2 linked regions of the Macaca fascicularis genome follow. Each later gene encodes a partner of the first gene's protein in a complex. Links are inferred from orthologs where the notes say so. Each region holds a gene or a part of one and is shown on either strand. Other genes may lie near its edges. The genes, in order: JARID2 and AEBP2.

Region 1 (10,723 bases):
GGCAGCGGCGTAGCCGTCCCCTTCACACCAACCAACAGTGTTTACAATGTCCCCAAGAGGCTCAGACGCAGTGAGTCTCCCTTTCCCAGCTCCTCCTGACGCCACAGAGCAGGCACGGCCCTTTCATCCTCATCAATACCCTGGTCCACCATGGTTTGCCTGCTCATAAGGGCAGGGCTGGCAGGGGGAGCCCAAGCACTGCCTCCACCACGGAGCACGCAGCAGAGAGACCTGGGGGCTTTGTTACGTCCTGGATGGTGACACAAATACCCAAGCTACTTGACTCACTTTAGCTACCAGTCACTGAACCTGGTCATGCAAATAAATGCAAACACTTGTCACCTATAGATATCCTTGTAATTCACCCAAGAGAATCATTTATCTGTCGGCACCAAAACTGCGTGTGTAACTTTCACACAGTACATCCTATAATCATCTCATTTTTAAAAAGAACATGGGGAGGAGTAGCAAACGTGCATCTCACAAGCATCTCTCTGGGCCAGGGGTGGCTGGGAACCACGCTGAGTCCGGCAGGCGAGGAAGCCAGCCATGGAATGAAACATCTGAGGGCCTGATCTCTAGCCCTCTGGAAAGACCCCAAGATAAGGGTAAGGAGTGACAGCTGGCTCCCATCACAAGTTAAAGGCGCCCTTGGAAGGGGGGTGCGCACGGATCTGTAATAACACCATAGTCATGGCGGCCTGAGGCACTGATGATGAACACTGATAAGGAGTAAGTGGCTGAGCTGCCATAACACCCATTTAGGGGACTACAGCTACCTTACCATAAGGACGAGTGAGGAGGAGCCGGCCGCGTGCGGTTACAGGAGGGCACTGTTCCCTCCCCACATGCAGCTCAACAGGCGGACAGCACCTGCCCCAGACCAGTGCCCTCACGCCAGGCTTGGTAGCAGGCAGCCCAGCACCCTGCTCACTGGACCCTGCTCAGCCAGCTTGCAAGGGCCGGAGGCACACATGGCTCCAAACTCCCCAGAGAGCTTCACCATCCATGAGAACCCAAGCCATGAATTCAGGGATTTGCAATCTAGGTGTGTCCCCTACCCCCCAAAAGGTAGGTGTTTAAAGCAGACTGTCCCAGGTCAGCAGGCACAGCCATGGGTGATTTGTGTGCTGGGCACACTGGGAGGTTGAGAACAAGATTTTGCAATGGTCTCTGTTTACAAGCTAGAAATTTCCTATTTAAAAGAATGGGTCAGATGTGGTGGCTCACGCCTGTAATCCCAGCACTTTGGGAGGCCGAAGCGAGCAGATCACCTGAGGTCAGGAGTTTGAGACCAGCCTGACCAACATGGTAAAACCCTGTCTCTACTAAAAAGAAAAATTAGCCGGGTGCATGGTGGCACATGCCTGTAATCCTAGCTGAGGCAGGAGAATCACTTGAACCCAGGAGGCAGAGGTTGCAGTGAGCCGAGATCATGCCACTGCACTCCAGTCTGGGCAACAGAGTGAGACTCCGTCTCTAAAACAAAACACAATGCACAGCTCAACAGGGGACAGAGGCACAGACTTGCTTACTGAACTACATCAGCCGCTGCAGAGTATGCAGTTTCTAAATACCTTTGCTCCTCCTAATTCATCAAAACCAACCATTAGGTCTTAGCCCCTGCATGCCATTCTTTTCCCAGGATCTGGTCACGTCAGACATGCAGCTGCAGAAACAGGCTGCTGGTGAGGGGCGCAACGCACGATCCACAGAGCACTTTCCAGGCAGCCAGAGGAAGCCTTCCTGTGCCAGCACCTGCACTGCACAAGGTGCCAGAGCCACACTCATCTCGGCCGCGAAGGCTTCGTTGTTTGTGACTGTGCCTGGACGTTTGCTGTTGAGGTGGAGGAGGGACAGCAGGTGCTTACTGCCTTCACCCAGCATGCTCTTTGAAACAAAACAGATGCAAAGAGTTCTTCTTCCAGCTCTCCAATCGTTTAGCTCAAGGCTTATTGAGTGAGACCCACCACTTGGCCCCACCGCTTGGGCCCCCAGACGCACCAGGCCCCGCACAGTCAGACCCGCAGCACCCGCCCCACTCAGTGGCCTCAACTGTGCAATGACCACAGTGTGGTGACCGTCCTCGTAACCAGCCTCATCAGAGTCCGTGGGAAGCACACGCAGGGAAGGCGGGCAGAGCAGGGGAAGCACACGTGGGGCAGAGCAGGGGAGAGGCACTGCTGCCAGTTCCGCCACTCAGGGCAGCCCCCAGCTGCACAGGCTGTGCACTGTTACGACCTCTCCCTCCAGAAGAGCTGGCGCCTGCAGGATGGCACTGGGACTTCCCATCCTGCCCCAGTGTCTGCAGACACTTCCAGCTCTCTCAGCCTGGAGGGGCTGGCGTCGAGTGAGTGGAGATTGGCGAGTCCACTGCCAACCGTCCCACTGTGCCTGGGACAGGTCACCACAAAAAAGGGTCTGGCTCTAAACCACAGTGGTGCAGCCCCTGGGAAAGTCAGTGAGGCTGCAAGAAGAGCCTCAGCCCTGGTGAGAGCCCATCTCTGAAATCCAAATGCACGGCACTCCGGGCCCATGCAGGAGCCCTGCTCCCCTCGGGATCCTAATGTGGGGCCTGAGTGGGTTTAGGGCTTAAGAACAGGACACCTCAGGCCTGCAGAGCCCTGGCTGCCCACCAGGCACAGAACTGCCAGGCCGGAGGGCCTACATCCAGCCAGGACCAGGGAAGGCGCCACGCTGCCACCCCACCCTACCCCGCGGGCAGGGACTGACCTCATCGTAGCGGTACATCAACTTCAGCCCTCGGCAGGACTTCTGTTTCTCCACATGGCGCAGAGCACACTCCAGACAGAACACGACGTTTTCGTTCTCTTGTACCACCTGCAAGCAAGAGCAGGACACCCGGAGGTCAGAACACAACTCCACAGCACCCTGGGAGGGTAAAGTGGGCGCATGCCCAGCCAGGCAGCCCTCACACCCACGGCCCCAGCCAGAGCAGCCCTGGCACCCACCACCCGGGCCAAGGGCTTTGAGGCCTGGAAACACTGGAGATGGACTCAAACGAAAACCGACAAACCACCTGAAACATGGTCTTCAACTAGGAAAGTGAGGAGCGGACGACCTCTGAGTGAGACCTGGGGTGGCCCTCATGTCCCCTCCAGATTTCTGCTGGAGTTTCCTGGGAGAGGTTCAGTCACCACCAGGCTGGTAAAGACAGTGAGGGGTACATTTTCTAATCTCTTGAGTTCTGAGGGCTGCTGAGACCCTGGGTTCGAAACCACCCTAGTGCTGGCATAGATGTGGAACATGGAGGACTCCAACTCGGGCAGCCACGCAGGAAACACGCCCTGGACTTTCCAGCAGCAAAACTGGTTCTCATGGTGGTCCACGAGCGGCTCAGTCAACAGAGCAAGGGGCATCCAATGACCCCATGCAAACTCCCCCGACACCCTCAACATCACAGATTCCTGGCCTCTGCAGTGCGGACCAGCTCACCCACCAGCCCCGGCCTCCCTGGGCGGGCTGTCCGCCAGCTGTGGATGCCTTGCTGCCTAAGGCCACAGGAGACTGCTGGGACAGAGACCCTCACTGCGGGCCTGTCCACCTGGCTTCTGTGGGAGGGCTCCCATACTTCACGCTGACTCCAAGTACTATTCTAATTCTGAGTTTGAAAATAAGGAAAAATTCAGTCTCAATACTCAAGAGGCAGAAGGGTCACAGGCCTTTCTCAGAAAGCTTGAGGGGAAGGACTTGTTTTCGTCTGCAGTGTTTCTAAGCGAGAAACAGAGAACATGTTGTAGGAGTGTGGGAATGCCACCTACTGACACAAGACCTTAGAGAGACACTTGGGGCCAAGGACAGGAAGAATAGGAAACACATCTAATTAAAATTTACAAATGTATTAGTAATCCAAGCAATGCAAATTGTCAACACAAGTCAGACCCCAATTTTTGCCCATGGATTTTTATATATATATATATATATATATTTTTTTTTTTTTAAGATGAAGTCTCACACTGTCACCTGGGCTGGAGCGCAATAGCGCGATCTTGGCTCACTGCAACCACTGCCTCCAGAGGAGCTGGGACTACAGGTGCGTGCCATCACACCCGGCTAATTTTTTTGTATTTTTAGTAGAGACGGGGTTTCACCATGTTGGCCAGGCTGTGACTGGCCCGCCTCGGCCTCCCAAAGTGCTGGGATTACAAGTGTAAGCCACTGTGCCTGGCCTTTTTTTTTTTTAAATTAAAGAGACAGGTTGTCACTCTGTCACCCAGCCTGCAAAGGCTCACTGTAGCCTTGAACTTCTGGGCTCAAGTGATACCCCCACCACCACACCCAGTTAATTTTTTGTAGAAATTGAGTCTCACTATGTTACCCAAGCTGGTCTCGCACTCCAGGCCTTGAGTGATCTGCCCATCTTTGCCTCCCAGAGCACTGGGATTAGCCTACCATGGCCGGCCTCACAATATATTCTTTTGAAAATAACTTTCAGGCTGACAGGAAATGCCACGTGACAACTCTGCAGTTTCTGAAGGATGGCTTGAAAATGAAGCCACCTGGTGCCACCTCACATGGACAGACCAGCTTCACCCCCAGGAGTAACCACCATACAGCCCTCACACACATGGACAATGAATAGAGTGTTCCAGCAAGAGGATGGACAGCTGGGCACAGTGACCCATGCCTGTAATCCCAGGGCTCTGGGAGGCTGAAGTAGGCAGCCTATGGGTAACATAGCAGAACCCCACCTCTACCAAAACTAAAAGTTAGCCGGGCGTGGTGGTACACCTGCTATCCCAGCTACTCCGGAGGCTGAGGCTCCAGTGAGACAGGATCACACCACTGCACTCCAGCCTGGGCAACAGAGCGAGACTGTCTCAAAAAAAAAAAAGAAGGAAAAAAGAAAAGAAAGAGCACACCAAGCTATGCAGCTTTTATCAGTGATGTTCATAAGGTACTTTGAAGATCTGAGAAAATGCTTATCATTTTAAGAACAGAATGGCTCTAGGTAATACATTTTGAGAAGTCTGGGGGAAAAACTAGATAGAAGGAAACCTACAGGATGGGAGGCAGGGTGGTCACGGACTGCATTTGTCCCCCATGAAATGCCAGCGTGAACCTCCAGGACCTCAGCTGTGACTGCAGGAGGAGGTGGAGCCTCTAAAGAGGTAAATCGGCTCGAATGAGGCCATGAAGGGGCCTATCGGATACACCGTGAGTTGTGTCCTTAGGTAAGGAGGAGACGAGGACACACAGAGTTTTCAGCTCTTTCAAATGGTACAAAGCCCCGATCTGACTCGTCCGGGAGAGGCCGTGTCCTCCCTCTTCTACAGGGCACGCCAGGACTTGGGGTGAGGCGGCATGACCCAGTCACACTGGGAGGCCGAGGAGAGTCGACCCAGGTCTCAGTCCTGGCCCACCGTGGACAAGCAGAGGGACGCAGAGGCACTGGCCCCTCGGGGAACGTGCAGCTGGAGGGGACACCTGTGGGACACAGGCACCACGGCGTATGGAGCGGGCGCCTCCTAGCTAGGCCTCTGCACTGGAGGAGGGAGGCACTGTGGAAAGGGAAGAGGCCCAGGGAGGCAGGTCAGGCCTGTCGGGCATGCTCTCTGTTCCAGGCTAAGGTGTGTAGTGGCGTGGAGCCATCTGCAGTGCCAGCCAGGCATCCCTGCCCAGAGTGTGTCAGGACAGCTGCCTGCTGAGAGGTCAAGGGAGGACTGGAAGAAGCATGGTGAGGGCCACAGCCGTCCAGTTGCCATGGAAGGGCTTTTCTGAGCCCACCTCTGGTCTAGGACAGGGCAAGCAGGGGAGGAGGCAGTGTTTGTTATTAAGCCCAAAGCTGGGGAAGGCAGGTGGTCACAAGGAGGCCGGCAGGGTACAGTCGAGAAGGCGAGAGGAATGCAGTCTGCTGTAGCCTGGAGTGGCTGTGCCAGAAAAGCAGCTCTGATCCCAGATGGGACAGGGGGAGCATCAGCTTTCAACAAGGACAGATTCCCAAGTCCTTGGGGGCTGAGGCAGATCATGTACCTGAGCAGAACCAGGAAGCCAAGAACAGAGCCAAAGGGCACAGGCCATGGGCCCAAGTCTACCAAGCACAGGTCACTGGGCGGGGGGTGGCAGACGCTGCCCAGCACTGTGGGAAACCCGCCCCGACCGTCTCAAAAAGTATGAAGAGCAGAGTGCGTGGGGGCTGGGGTGACAAAGTAGGGGGGGGAGGGAGGCCACCTGCTCCGCAAGGAGGAAGGAGGCACCGCGGGACCGAGAGAGGGCCACGTGTGGGCAGAGTAGAGGGACAGCCTCTGTGTGGCCTGGTCACTGCGGGTGAGGCAGCCGCCTCCAGAGGTCAGAAGCTCTGCTGAGGTCCCACAGCCAGCTCCAGAGATGGGAGCACAGCAGGTCTCCTGTGCAGAGAGCACCCTCCCTCTTCTGGGGGCAACCCTGGAGCTCTCAGGGGAAGCACTGCACACAAGGGCGCCGGCCGTGCCAGGTGGGCTCACCATAGACAGATAGCACAGGTGCTGGCAGATCTGACACCTCCTCTCCGACGTCTCCAACTGCAGCCACTTTCGAGGCTTTTTCTTCCCGTCCGCCACCGTGCTGCTGCCATCATGGCTGCCGTAGCGCGCGGAGGAGTGGAGGCCAGCCTCGAACAGCTGCCTGCGCTGCCGCAGCTCTGTATCCCTGCCAGACACGGGGGACGGCCCACGCCTTTAGTGACAGCCAGCCATGCTCACCAGCAGCAGGACATGCACTTCCCACACCGGCCTCCCTCCAGACACACCCTCCTGTCAGAAGTGAGGCCTGCTCAGGGTTCAGAGCCCAGCTCACCTCCCCGGGTGCCTTAGTCCACAGATCAGTAGCAGCCCTGGCTGATGAGGCTACTCTGTGGCCAGACTTAGTAATGCAGGCGTCACAACGCCTGCAAAACCACGGCCACCTAGTAAGGGCTTCTCCCTGTGTCCCAAGCCCAGGAGAGAGTCAAGATACTATCACCAAAAGTTCAAAATTCATGTGCTCACAACACAACCCAGAGCCTTGCTCCAGGATGGGAGAGGCACCGAGAACTACACGGTAGGGAAGAGAGAAGAGGGTTACACGGGCGCCACTCTGCTCAGCGTCCGCCCTGACCTGCTCCACACACATACACACCCACACCCCCCCCCACACACACCCCCCACACACACACCCCCACACACCCCACACCCCACACACACACACCCCACACACACCCCACACACACCCCACACACACACGCACCCCCTACACACACACCACACATATGGACACCACACACACACCCCACACACCCACACCCCCCACCCCACACACACACCCCCCACCCCACACACACACCCCACACACCCACACCCCCCACCCCACACACACACCACACACCCCCCACACCCCCCACACACACCCCACACACACACCCCTCCCCACACACACCCCACACACACACCCCACACACACACGCACCCCCTACACACACACCACACATACGGACACCACACACACACCCCACACACCCACACCCCCCACCCCACACACACACCACACACACCCCACACCCCCCACACACACACCCCTCCCCACACACACCCCACACACACACCCCTCCCCACACACACCCCTCCCCACACACACCCCACACACACACCCCCCACCCCACACACACACCACACACACCCCACACCCCCACACCCCCCACACACACCCCACCACACACACCCCACACACACACCCCACACACCCCCCCCACACACACGCACCTACACACACACCACACACACCACACATACGGACACCACACACACACCACACACACCCACACCCCCCCACACACACACCACACCCCACACACACACCACACACACCCCCCCACACACACACCCCACACACACACGCACCCCCTACACACACACCACACACACCACACATACGCACACCATACGCACACCACACACACACGCACCCCCTACACACACACCACACACACCCCACACACCACACATAACGCACACCCCACACACACACACCCCACACACCCCACACACCACACATAACGCACACCCCCCACACACACACCCCACACACCCCCCCACACACACCACCTACACACACCCCACACACCCACCACACATACGCACACCCCACACACCCCCCCACACCCCACACACACACACCACACATACGCACACCACACACCACACATACGCACACCACACACCACACATACGCACACCACACACACCCCACACACGCACACACCACACCCCACACACATACGCACACCACACACACCCCCCCCACACACACACCACATACGCACCCCACACACCCCCCACACCACACACACACCACACACACACCACACACACACCCCCCACACACACACCCCACACACACACACCACACAGACGCACACCACACACCCCCCACAAACCACACACACACCACACACACACACCCCCCACACATACGCACACCACACACACCCCCCACACCACACATACGCACACCACACACACCCCACACACACACACCACACACGCACACCACACATCCCACACATCCCACACACCCCCCACACCACACACAGACACACAGCACACACACACACACACCACACACACACCACACACGCACACCACAGACACACGGCACACACACACAAAGGGGTTGGCAAGAAAATGGAGGGTGGAGGACCGGGGGCAGCTATCCACGCCTTCCCCTAACTGGTGCAGAGCCAGGCTCTGACGCAGTGGGTCAGCAAGTACGTGTCAGGGGTCGGGCGCCCCCCTTGCAGTCAATCCCACAAAGAGGAGGAACCTCTTGGTGCTGGAGGTTCGGAGTCCGAACATCAAGGGGAAATTATTTTCTTAAAAAAAAAAATGTTAAAATAAAAACCAGCACACCCTGAGCCTCTGCCCATCTGGAAAAGCATCACATGGGCCGTGCAGTGCCAAGGGGCTCTGCGGCTGCAGGCAGGCAGCGCTGTCTGCTCACCCCGGGCGTCTACCCGGCTAAGCCCCCGAAGGGCAGCCAGGTCAAGCTCTCTGACGTGGGCCCTGGGGGTCTCCCAGAACCCCGAGTCTGTTACCTGAGCTCGTCCAGAAGGGCTGAGATGGTACTGAGAGTGGGCCCGTTTTCTTTCTTTGCTTCTGCTTGTGCAATCTGGTAGAGTAACTTCTCCATGGAGAATGGCTTAGCTATATGGCGACGCTTCATTTCCTGAAAGAGGAGTCACATCCCTTTAGCGTGGATTTTCATGACTAGGCAGCTGTCAAGGTTCTTCTTGGTGGAGGGGCAGGCCGGCTGTCCGAATTTCTAAATCTTGAATTGCATTTGGATTAAAAACTCTTCAAAACTTTGCCTCCCTGTGAGAAAGGCACCACATACCAGGAGAAGTCACAGCACTTCGCCACTACCCAGAGGCAGCTGCCACCACCTCACGATGGGTGGAGGTTCTCTGTCCATTCATTCTAAGCAATTACCTTAAGTATCTTCAGTAGTTTTCCAATACTGGAGGGATCTGTCAGTAACGGTATGATCAAAACTCTTTGTGATACAAACAAATCCCTAACTTTTCACTCCTAGAAGACCTTTCAACCACCTCCTAAGAATTTCAAAGACATATTCCAAAAGGAACTATCTACAGATAGACACGCACACGCAGGGCTGCTTCTGTGTGCAATCACGCACGGCGCTCACACGGATGCGGGGGCAGCCAGCGGGAGGAGGCTGGCTCTGCTTACCTTGGCGGTCTCAAAGCCCATACTTGTCCACTGGGTGGTAGCAAAGTGCACGGTTTCAGACACGCTGTACCCACAGCACACTTTGGACACAAAGGATCCCGGGAAGCAGACGACAAACTGGCCACTCTGCTGCACGGTCCTGTGCACCTTGATCCCCTCTTTGCACAGCACCTCCGGGGAGATCTGGGGAGACAGGGCCAGGCTGAGGCACACCCCCTCCCTGTGCGCCGGGACACCTGCAGCCTTCAGGTGAGGCATGAGCACCCTAAGAGGCCTGCTCTCAAGGAGACAAGATTGCTTTATGTGGAAAATAAAAAGATGTCATTCATAACACAAGAAGAAGTTCTAAATTGCACTGGCCCCAGAGTGATGACAGGTTCATGCACAGCTGAGGACATGATGACCACACAGGCCCCTCTGTCCCCACCTGGCAATGCCATGGGGTGGAAACGGGACAAGGTTACACAACCAGGAGGCTGCCGGGCTCATCTCCAGAGCCAAGTAGGCCACAGGCCCACAGGCTGCGCTTACAAAGGAGTCCCCCGTCCATCTCTTCTCTAAGATGGACAGGCTGGACCAGCAGGGTCAGCAGAGGCCAGAGAAGCTGGTCAGAACACAGCCCAAAGCAGCACCTCCCAGGAGCTCACCAGCCCCATGACTTCCTGAAAACAAGTGAAGAAGCCTTTGTGCTCATTCCTCTCATGTGCCCAGAAGGTAGGAGCAGCGGGCACAAGAAAACCCAGAGTCCACAGCAGCCCTCAACATGAACAAGCCCCAAAACAGATGCAAAGGCCGTGCAAAACCCCAGCACCCTGTGCAATCTGATGGATGGTCAGTTTGGCTTTTGTGTCTGAGGACCTTTCCCTTTGCACCCTGGGGATTTGTTTTGCTGTGTTCTCATTGCCTTTGAAAAGCAGGTTCATGGGAAACCATGTTCAAGTGCCTAGGAGGTCCTACAGTTCCTGCTGGAGGCGGCGGCTGAGTGGACGCACCATGACGTT
Region 2 (10,723 bases), on another chromosome or scaffold:
TTTTAAACTCACACAGCCATTAAAAGAATATCTTTGGGCCAGGAGTAGTGGCTCACACCTATAATCCCAGCACTCTGAGAGGCCGAGGTGAGTAGATCACTTGAGGTCAGGATTTCAAGACCAGCCTGACCAACATGGTGAAATCCCACCTCTACTAAAAATACAAAAACTTAACCAGGTGTGATGACACATGCCTGTAATCCCAGCTACTTGGGAGACTGAGGCAGGAGGACTGCTTGAACCTAGGAGGCGGAAGTTGCAGTGAGCTGAGATGGCCCCACTACACCCCAGCCTGGGTGACAGAAAGAGACTCCATCTCAAAAAACATACATATATATTTTGGACTGCCAAAGAAATCTTCAAGTTTACAAGGGCCTTACACATGAGATGTAGATGTCTAAAATTTCAGTGTTACAGGGAGGTTTCGGCTTTCTGTTAAGAACTCTACAAAGTACTGAGTTTCTATCAGAACAGGTTTTACCTTCAGGAATCTTCTCCAAAACACCCAAAGTGAGTAAGGACAGTACAAACCTGGGAGCCAAGAGTTGTCTGAGTCTCCTTCACTTTGGTCAATATCCTCGAACCAGTGTATGAACCAGTGCATCCTTGTACCAGTGTATGTATCTGAGTGTATTTGAATGGCCTATACTTAAAATGGCTTGTATGATAGTACAGACAAACGCACAAACACCTATGCACCTGAAGAGCACAAATGAATCCATGAAATCTTTCTGTAAATAAATGAAAAATCCACTGCAAAAAAATGGAATGTTAACCTGCCTAAGTATGCACAAGGAAATTCAGTTATTACCAGTAAATTAAAATCAGCCAAATATATTCTAAACGCAGAGCAAGTTAACGGAATAATCTACATGCCAAAATAAAGGCCTAATTATACTGAGTAAATGATCTTGTTTTCAGTAAAATGACACAAAAAGAAAAGAGCGACACCATCTAAAGTCAGGTAGGCCAGCTGAGTGTGGTGGTTCTTGCCTGGAATCCCAGGAACTCAAGAAGCCGAGGTGGGAGCACTGCTTAAGCCCAGGAGTTGGAAAACATAGTAAGACTCTGTCTCAGCCGGGCGCGGTGGCTCATGCCTGTAATCCCGGCACTTTGGGAGGCCGAGGCGGGCGGATCACAAGGTCAGGAGATCGAGACCACGGTGAAACCCCATCTCTACTAAAAATACAAAAAATTAGCCGGGCGCGGTTGTGGGCGCCTGTAGTCCCAGCTACTCGGGAGGCTGAGGCAGGAGAATGGCGTGAACCCGGGAGGCGGAGCTTGCAGTGAGCCGAGATCGCGCCACTGCACTCCAGCCTGGGCGACAGAGCGAGACTCCGTCTCAAAAACAAAAACAAAAACAAAAAAAAAAGACTCTGTCTCATTAACAAAAAAAAACACAAAAGTCAGACAGAGGGGGTGGACGGATGATTCCATGATACCATCAAGCCTTATTTTTCTTTTCTTTTTTTTTTTTTTAAATGAGACAGAATCTTGCTCTATCATCCAGGCTGTAAGGCAGAGGCACAATCATAGCTCACTGCAACCTTGACCTCCTGAGCGCTATAGTTAACTGTACTCATTCAAGTCTTCCAATAACATCGTATCATATTCCTCCCTTGCCCAAAATCGCCTCGCTTTGCCTCTCAGCAAAAAAACACACCAAAGAATATATGCAAAAGTAAACCTGAAATGACACAGAAAATAAATCCTGTATCAAGAAATCTAAACAGCTTTCCAGAAATTGTTTTTATGTGAGAAATAGCTGAGAAAGAAAGAGCAGTAATATATTTTACACTGAGCCTCTAAAGTCCTATAAGTTCCCCACTTTCCAAGACTTAGGTGTATATTAAGAGGACACTGGGATTTGAAATTTGATTAGTAAGATAACTCAGAGCCTAATCTTCAGAAATCAGTCACACACAGAAGAACGGACCTAGGCCAGGCACGGTGGCTCAGGCCTGTAATCCCAGCACTTTGGGAGCCAGAGGCAGGTGGATCACCTGAGGTCAGGAGTTCGAGACTAGGCTGGCCAACATGGTGAAACCCCATCTCTACTAAAAATACAAAAGTCAGTCAGGTGTGGTGGAGCATACCTGTAGTCCCTGCAACTTAGGAGGCTGACATAGGAGAATCACTCAAACCTGGGAGGTGGAGGTTGCAGTGAGCGGAGATTGCACCACTGCACTCCAGCCTGGGCAACAGTAACAAAATTCTATCATATTTAACACTAAAGATAAGTTTGATTCTCTTTTTGCCTGTTTTGTTTTTATTTTTGAAATTGTAGAAAGCACTCTAATGATTTTTTTTTTTAAAAAGGTGTATTGGTCGGGGCATGGTGGCTCACGCCTGTAATCCTAGCACTTTGGGAAGCCAAGGCAAGACCAGCATGGGCAACACAGTGAGACCTCATATCTAAGAAAAAAAAAGTGTATTCATAATTTGGTGTTTAAATGATTAGTTTGATTTTAATGTAGAAATCAGGCCAGGAAAATCTAAACTCCACTTGACTTCAGCCTCCAAAGAAGTCCACATGAACATAGCAACATAAACAGCTTAAAAGGGGGAAAAAAACAATGCTAAGTGGTTATATAATGGTTTTGCTTTTCTCCCCAGGGCAAAGATTATAGTGGAATGAGAAAAAGAACATAAATTAATATAGTTTAGATCTTGCTAACTTACTGCTCCAGTAAAATTGTCATCTTTCAATAATCAGAAGCATAAAATCTTCTAGGGTTACCAATTTTTTCCTCATCTGTTTCTGTTCCATGATGACACTTTAACACTTAAGAGAGAAAGAAGAAATAAGAAAACTAAAAAAATAATTAGGCCAACAAAATCAGGTGTTTTCTACTTATATTAGATACCTACAACAGTCAAACACACAGAGATAGAAAGTAGAACTGTGGTTACCAGGAGCTAGTGGGAGCAGACAGTAAGTTTGTTTAATGGATATACATCTCAATTTGGGATGATAATTTACAAGTTCTGGAGACAGTGGGTGACGATTACACAATAAGGTGAACGTACTTAAAGCCCCTGAACTGTACATTAAAATTGTTTTTTGTTCTTTTTTTTGAGACAGGATCTCACTCTGTCATCCAGGCTGGAGTGCAGTGGCGTGATCTCACAGCACCTCAACCTCCTAGGCTCAAGCAATTCTCCCACCTCATCCCCCTGAGTGGCTAAGACCACAGGTGTGTGCCACCACACCCAGCTAATTTTTGTAGAGACAGGATTTTGTCATGTTGCCCAGGCTGGCCTGAAAACTCCTGAGCTCAAGCGATCTACCTGCCTCAGCTTTCCAAAGTGCTGGGATTACTGTGCCCAGCCGAAAATGTTTTTGTTTTCTTAAAGTTCATTTCAAAGAAAAAAAATCTGATGTTCCAACCAACAATTACTCTTCAAAACACAAAACCTGCTAGGCATGGTGGCTCACGCCTGTAATTCCAGCACCTTGGGAGGCTGAGGAGGATGATCAGGTCCTCCTCAGGAACTCCTTAGGTCAGGAGTTCAAGACCAGCCTGGCCAACATGGTGAAACCCCATCCATACTAAAAATACAAAAATTAGCTGGGCGTGGTGGTGCACACTTGTAATCCCAGCTACTTGAGATGCTGAGGCAGGAGAACTGCTTGAACCCGAGAGGCAGAGGTTGTAGTGAGCTGAGGTCGTGCCACTGCACTCCAGCCGGGGCAACAGAGATTCCATCTCAAAAAAAGAAAATAAAAGAAAAAACAAACACAAAAGTCAATCTCAAAGCACAAAATCGGATTGAGTTTTCTTGTCTTTTATAATAGTACCCTCAATTTCTCATTCATATTTTATCATTCAAAACACATAGTCTATTGTAATCTCAGCACTTTCAGAGACCAAGACGGGCAGATCACTGGAGTCCAGGAGTTGGAGACCAGCCTGGGCAACATGGTGAAACCTCATCTCTACAAACAAACAAACAAACAAACCATAGTCTATATCCTAATGACTGGTGTGTAGGAAAAAACTGGGATGCATTTTCTACATTATTTGATCCTTCACATTTATAGTTTAGCAAATAATGTCCTTCAAAGATCAGGACTCCTATCTTTGGTCAAAATAGCATTACTCTTTTTATTTTATTTTATTTTTTGAGACAGAGTCTCATTCTGTCACCCAGGCTGGAGTGAAGTGGTGCGATCTCAGCTCACTGCAACCTCCGCCTCCCGGGTTCAAGTGGTTCTTCTGCCTCAGCCTCCCCAGTAGCTGGGACTATAGGGGCGCACAAACATACCCAGCTAATTTCTGTATTTTTAGTAGAGATGGGGTTTCACCATATTGGCCAGGCTGGTCTCAAACTCCTGACCTCGTGATCCGCCTGCCTCAGCCTCCCAAAGAGCTGAGATTACAGGCATGAGCCACCGCGCCTGGCCAAACAGCATTACTCTTAAAATCAGCTACAGAATCTTATTATTGGTAATCAAGTGATATTTTGAATAAGGGTTCAAGAAATGACATGGGAGATTTTTCATTTCAATATTACACTTACGGGACAAATGCCAACATTTCATGTCTAATTCTATAATATCAGCAATGTACATGTATATAGTTACTGTGATTACATGATATATTTATTTTAAAAATCAGTCTTGGCCAGATGCGGTGGCTCACACTTGTAATCCCAGCATTTTAGGAGGCCAAGGCGGGTGGACCACCTGCGGTCAGGAGTTCGAGACCAGCCTGGCTAACATGGTGAAATCCCGTCTCTACCAAAAATACAAAAAAAATTAGCCAGGCATGGTGGCTCACGCCTGTAATCCCAGATACTCGGAGGCTGAGGCAGGAGAATCACCTGAACCCAGGAGGCAGAGATGGCAGTGAGCTGAGACCACACCATTGCACTGCAGACTGGGCAACGAGAACCAAACTCTGTCTCAAAAAAAAAAAAAAAATTAATTACTTTAAAAAAAAATTAAAATCAGACTGTAATTGCATTTTTTCTAAAAATCTGGAAAGGGGTGAAATTCTCATCAGGTTGTATGCCAACTCGACTTGCGGGATTCCAAGACTCAGAAATGTGAAATTCTCCCGCTCCCACATCTACCGCTCCCACATCTTCCACATCAAGAGAAGCCCAGTGATCTTCCAAATAGCTCATGATTCTATATACAGTTGCTAAGTCAAGTGACAAAAAAGCATCATGCCATGATGCTCAAAAATGGTATATACCAAGTGACATCAAGCACTGGCTTACAAAAAGCAGATCTACAAAAGCCAGAAAACCAACTTGCTAAGATATTTCACTCTAAGTATCTGACATACGGCTTGGGGGAGAAGACTGGGTTACCAAAGTAGCCTAACCACTGAGCTGGGTTTTACACTGAAAATACCGTATGATGGACACAGTTAATTAACAAATCATAGGTAAGTATAACATTTTACTGGTTACTCAGACATCATACCTATTAACTCTAACAAGAAGACAAATGTACAAGTGTTTACTTATCAAGTTTGAGTAATCAAAAGACTGCTGACACATTATAATATATTGTGACAGGGAAGAATATGTCTTAAAAGAAATTTCGGCCACATACGGTGACTCATGCCTATAATCCCAGCACTCTGGGAGGCCAAGGCGGGCGGATCACTTGAGTTCACGAGTTCGAGACCAGCCTAGCCAACATGGCAAAACCCCATCTCTACTAAAAATACAAACAAAAATTAGCCAGGCATGGTGGCAAGCACTGGTAATCCCAGCTACTCAGGAGGTTGAGGCAGGAGAATCACTTGAACCCAGGAGGCAGAGGCTGTGGTGAGCCAAGATCACGCCACTGCACTCCAGCCTGGGCAACAGAGCAAGACTCCATCTCAAAAAAAAAAAAAAAAAAAAAAAATTCAAGTATGACATCACTGCTTAAAATGTTAGAAATGTTGACTTGGCTGGATGTTTAAAAAAAAAAAGATCAATATTATACTCTAAGTATCAACAGAACCTTGGAAACAGTTATCCACTAACTTAAACCATGATGGTTTTTACTATGTTAGTTATCTGTTCTTCAATAGTGATGGAAGGCTGATAAGAAATGTGTGGCCTAATACTAATAAATTACCTGCCCTTACACTGTGACAGTAATTTCTGAAAAATGCACTAAGTGTGATAACTATTCAACAAAAATCTAGGTAAAGCTGAAACAATGTATAAATTAATATTCTGGCACATTACTTTTGGCTTACCCATTTGCTTAGCTCTTTATTCAGTACCTAATAGAAGTTACATGAACTGACACAATTAAATGTATTCCTGAAAGGATATAGGTCAATACTGACGAATCAGAACTTTCCATCTAAATAGTTTTGTCAAGACCTGGGAAAGATTATCAACTCTCACTCACAAATAATGAGTTCAGGTTGTCATTTAATAGAATTGCATATACTAATCCTGGTACCAATAGTCTCCCCAGTTAATTTAAGCATCAGGAATAATTTAGGATCCTCTAACAAAGGAAAACCAAGACAGTGCTAATTCTAAATGTTCTCAACTCAAAACATCAGAACCCTGGAATACACTGTATTCATTTATAATACTGTCACCTACTATATTTTTAAAAGTCTAATTTCTTCAAAATAACGTATCTAAAAGCAAACTAAAATCCAACACATATCCTATTTTTATTTGATTCTATCAAATAATTGGGAAATAATTATTAAAAATTCACTTGAAAAAATTAAGCCTGTGTAAAAATAATCCCAAATTACTTTCAGCAAAAAAGCCTAACTAGCAATTATAATAAAACTAACGAAAACAGGGAGTGAAAAAAAGAAATGACAAAACCAACCCCTCCTCGCTGACCATCTACATGTATGGAACGGATGTGATCTGCCAGATCTGGGCTAGAGTTGAAGCAAGCCTGGCACTGGTCCCAACAACAATTATAGGCAATATTTTTGCTTGAAGAAGTAGTGCTTCCTTGTCCATTCATCATTGCTGGAGTTGAACGCCCACTGGAAATTGTGCTGTCTACATCCATTATAGTACTGCTTATGCTACAAAAGAAGAAAAAAGGCTGTGTTATTCCTAGAAATATACTAACATGAATATGATCTTATAAATACTTAATTAAGATTACCACTTGACATTCTGCTCCATGTGAGCAAAGCATAGTAACCATATTCTCCATTAGAAAACAACAATGCTTTGATATTAATTAGTTGGCAATGAAGTACAAATCAAGACAGAAACATGACAGTACCTCAAAATCAGATATGGAATAATTTAAGCAACTTTTGGCAGGCATGAACTCAATACTATATCTTACAGAAAACAAACCACACCCACACCCACACACAGCTTATCACATCTCATCCCTTCCACAGTTCAAAGCAGCAAGAGAAAGTAAGAGTTTCCAGCTGTAAATAATACATAATCAAAGCATTATCTTTATGGCTCTGCAAATCACTTGTTGACCTGAAATCTCTTCTAATCATTAATCTGAAAATATAACTGCTACCACTCCTACTCCCTTTTCATATCAAAGAATTGGGGAGATTTTGCAGTATTTTCCCTGATAAATAAAAAAGCAGAAGAGAGAAAACTGGTCTCTGATTTTTCTAAAGTCCAAATAAAAAATCTTTTCCTGACCCTAAAATTTTATTTTTTTAACTCATCTCTAGCCATAAAAACAAGACTGAAAACGTCAACCAATTCCTTTTAATTTTTATTTACTAAAGTATTACATATGGCTGGACGTGGTGGATCACTCCTGCAAACCCAGCACTTTGGGAGGCCGAGGCGGGTAGATTACCTGAGGCCAGGAGTTCGAGACCAGCCTGCTCAACATGGTGAAAACCTATTGCTACTAAAAATACAAAAAATTAGCTGGGTGTGGTGGCAGGTGCCTGTAATCCCAGCTACTCGGGAGGCTGAGGCAGGAGAATCTCTTGAACCTAGGAGGTAGAGGTTGGAGTGAGTGGAGATCGCACCACTGTACTCCAGCCTGGTCAACAAGAGCAAAACTCTGTCTCAAAAAATAAAATAAAATAAAATTAAATTAAATTAAAGATCACGCCATTGCACTCCAGCCTGGTCAACAAGAGCAAAACTCTGTCTCAAAAAATAAAATAAAGTATTACATAGTAGTAACTCTTTTATTTAAAAAAATTATATTATTAGTGGTCAAAATGCTCAAAAATTCACAGCTTAATAAAATGTACCACACTTTTTCCTTAATTTTAAAAGCAATTCACTTATTTTCTTTTTTCAAAATCTTCTCAATAAATAAATTACATGAAAGTCACTTCAATCATAAGGGTCAAGAGGAAGAATGTTTTCAGACTAAATCTGTGAAAGGGTGTATATCTGCTTGCAATTTAAGAAATAACACAAGTCAAGTTGTGAAAATTGTATTAACTTTAAAGAGGTATGCTTCCCTCCTGCCAAGTTTTTATCATGGAAAATTTCAAAGACACAAAATATAGCTAAATCTGAATTCAATTAACATTTTTACCGTATTTGCTATCTGTAATCTGTTTCTCTGAATCATTTCAAAGTTGCAGGCATCATGACAGTCAACCACAGCACATACCTTCTTAAAAAAAAGAACATTCAGGCAGGTCACAGTGGCTCATGCCTATAATCCCAGCACTTTGGGAGACTGCAACGGACAGATCACAAGATCAGGAGATTGAGATCATCCTAGCTAACATGGTGAAACCCCGTCTCTACTAAAAATACAAAAAATTAGCCAGGCATGGTGGTATGTGCCTGCAGTCCCAGCTACTCCAGAGGCTGAGGCAGGAGAATGGTGTGAACCCAGGAGGCGGAGATTGTAGTGAGCAGAGATCATGCCACTGCACTCCAGCCTGGGCGACACAGCTAGACTCCATCTCAAAAAAACAAAAAAAAAAAAACATTCAGGCCAGGTGCGGGGGCTCACGCCTATAATCCCAGCACTCTGGGAGGCTGAGGTGGGTGAATCACAAGGTCAGGAGTTCAAGACCAGCCTGGTCAAGATGGTGAAATCACATCTCTACTAAAAATACAAAAATTAGCAGGGCGTGGTGGCGCATGCCTGTAATCCCAGCTACTCAGGAGGCTGAGGCAGAGAATTGCTTGAACCTGGGAGGAGGAGGTTGCAGTGAGCCAAGATAATACCACTGCACTCCAGCCTGGGTGACAGAGCGAGACTCTGTCTCAAAAACTAAAAAGAACATTCATCTATATACCAATACAACCTATTCACTCACACCGGAGAAAATTTACATGAATTTTGTTAGCTTAAGTAAGCTTTATAATGATCTGTGTCTAACATCAAACATACCCACTGTGGGGGGTTAGGGGGATGTTAAGGCAGGATCCTCACCCCGTTGCCACGCCTATAGTGCAGTGGTGCTAACACGGCTCATTGCAGCCTTGACCTACCAGGCTCAAGTGATCCTCCTACCTCAGCCTCCTGAGTAGCCGGGCCTACAGGTGTGCACCACTATGGTCGACTAAATTTTTTAAATTTCTGTAAACACGACGTCTCTTTATGTTGCCCAGGCTGGGCTCAAGCAATCCTCCTGCCTTGGCCTCCCAAAGTACTAGGACTACAGGCATAACCCACTGCACCCAGCTAAATTTTTTTTTTTTTTTGTAGAGGCGGAGTCTTGTATTGTAGCCCACGCTAGAAACATATCCATTTTTAAAAGCAGATATTTTTGTAGGATGCTTCAGATATGAAAAATGTCTTGGCTGCCGGGCGCGGTGGCTCAAGCCTGTAATCCCAGCACTTTGGGAGGCCGAGGCGGGCGGATCACAAGGTCAGGAGATCGAGACCACGGTGAAACCCCGTCTCTACTAAAAATACAAAAAATTAGCCGGGCGCGGTGGCGGGCGCCTGTAGTCCCAGCTACTCAGGAGGCTGAGGCAGGAGAATGGCGTGAACCCGGGAGGCGGAGCTTGCAGTGAGCCGAGATCGCGCCACTGCACTCCAGCCTGGGCAACAGCGTGAGACTCCGTCTCAAAAAAAAAAAAAAAAAAAAAAAAAAAAAAAGAAAAATGTCTTGGGTTTTCCTTTAAAGGATATTCTAGTATCTAAGCTCATCTAACTATCTACCTAGTTAGTTAAATGCAATAAATATATATTTACCTGCCTAGTCAGCATAAGATTCTAAATTGCATCTCTAAGGCTTCATTCTAAAACTCTGTAATCTCAAATGTGAATCAGTTCTTGAATATCTGAATATGCATATATTGTTTGTTGTTGCAGGAGTAACCTTGGGTATGGTGGTTTTCTACACCGAAATACAAATTTTATTTAAACCCTAGAAATTTCAAGTTTCCCCTGGCCAGGCGGTGGCTCACACCTGTAATCTCAGCACTTTGGGAGGCCAAGGAGGGCGGATCACGAGGTCAGGAGATCAAGACGATCCTGACTGACACAGTAAAACCCCATCTCTACTAAAAATACAAAAACTTAGCCGGGCGTGGTGGCGGGCACCTGTACTCCCAGCTACTCCGGAGGCTGAGGCAGGAGAATGGTGTGAACCCAGAAGGCGGAGCTTGCAGTGAGCCAAGAAAGCACCACTGCACTCCAGCCTGGGCGACAGAGCAAGAAAATTTCAAGTTTCATGAGGCCCTTAATCCTGAAATGGTTACCTATTTTCCCTACCGCTTGCTTTATATATTTTAAAACATTCAACTATAAAGCACATACTTACATAAACCATACTAATTTAACTCTAAGGCAAAAACTAATAATTCTAAGTGA

Evidence for each region.
Region 2: the proteins of JARID2 (region 1) and AEBP2 are in contact, whole or in part, in a cryo-EM structure (PDB 8VNZ), measured with the Homo sapiens proteins. The link is inferred for Macaca fascicularis from reciprocal best matches to the Homo sapiens genes JARID2 and AEBP2. Residues at the interface, in NP_004964.2 of Homo sapiens: Ser148, Lys151, Pro152, Lys153, Thr154, Glu155, Asp156, Leu158, Thr159; in NP_001107648.1 of Homo sapiens: Arg407, Ala410, Ile411, Asn414, Leu415, Glu420, Ser421.

What each region holds. Positions count from the first base shown.
Region 1 is NC_088378.1:157,429,423-157,440,145, forward strand, and holds part of JARID2 (protein Jumonji), read right to left. Parts: coding exon 10,715-10,723; intron 9,906-10,714; coding exon 9,723-9,905; intron 9,199-9,722; coding exon 9,068-9,198; intron 6,649-9,067; coding exon 6,465-6,648; intron 2,842-6,464; coding exon 2,734-2,841; intron 1-2,733.
Region 2 is NC_088385.1:22,279,760-22,290,482, reverse strand, and holds part of AEBP2 (zinc finger protein AEBP2), read right to left. Parts: intron 7,020-10,723; coding exon 6,812-7,019; intron 2,786-6,811; exon of another isoform or gene 2,683-2,785; intron 1-2,682. UniProt on the Homo sapiens protein: Acts as an accessory subunit for the core Polycomb repressive complex 2 (PRC2), which mediates histone H3K27 (H3K27me3) trimethylation on chromatin leading to transcriptional repression of the affected target gene.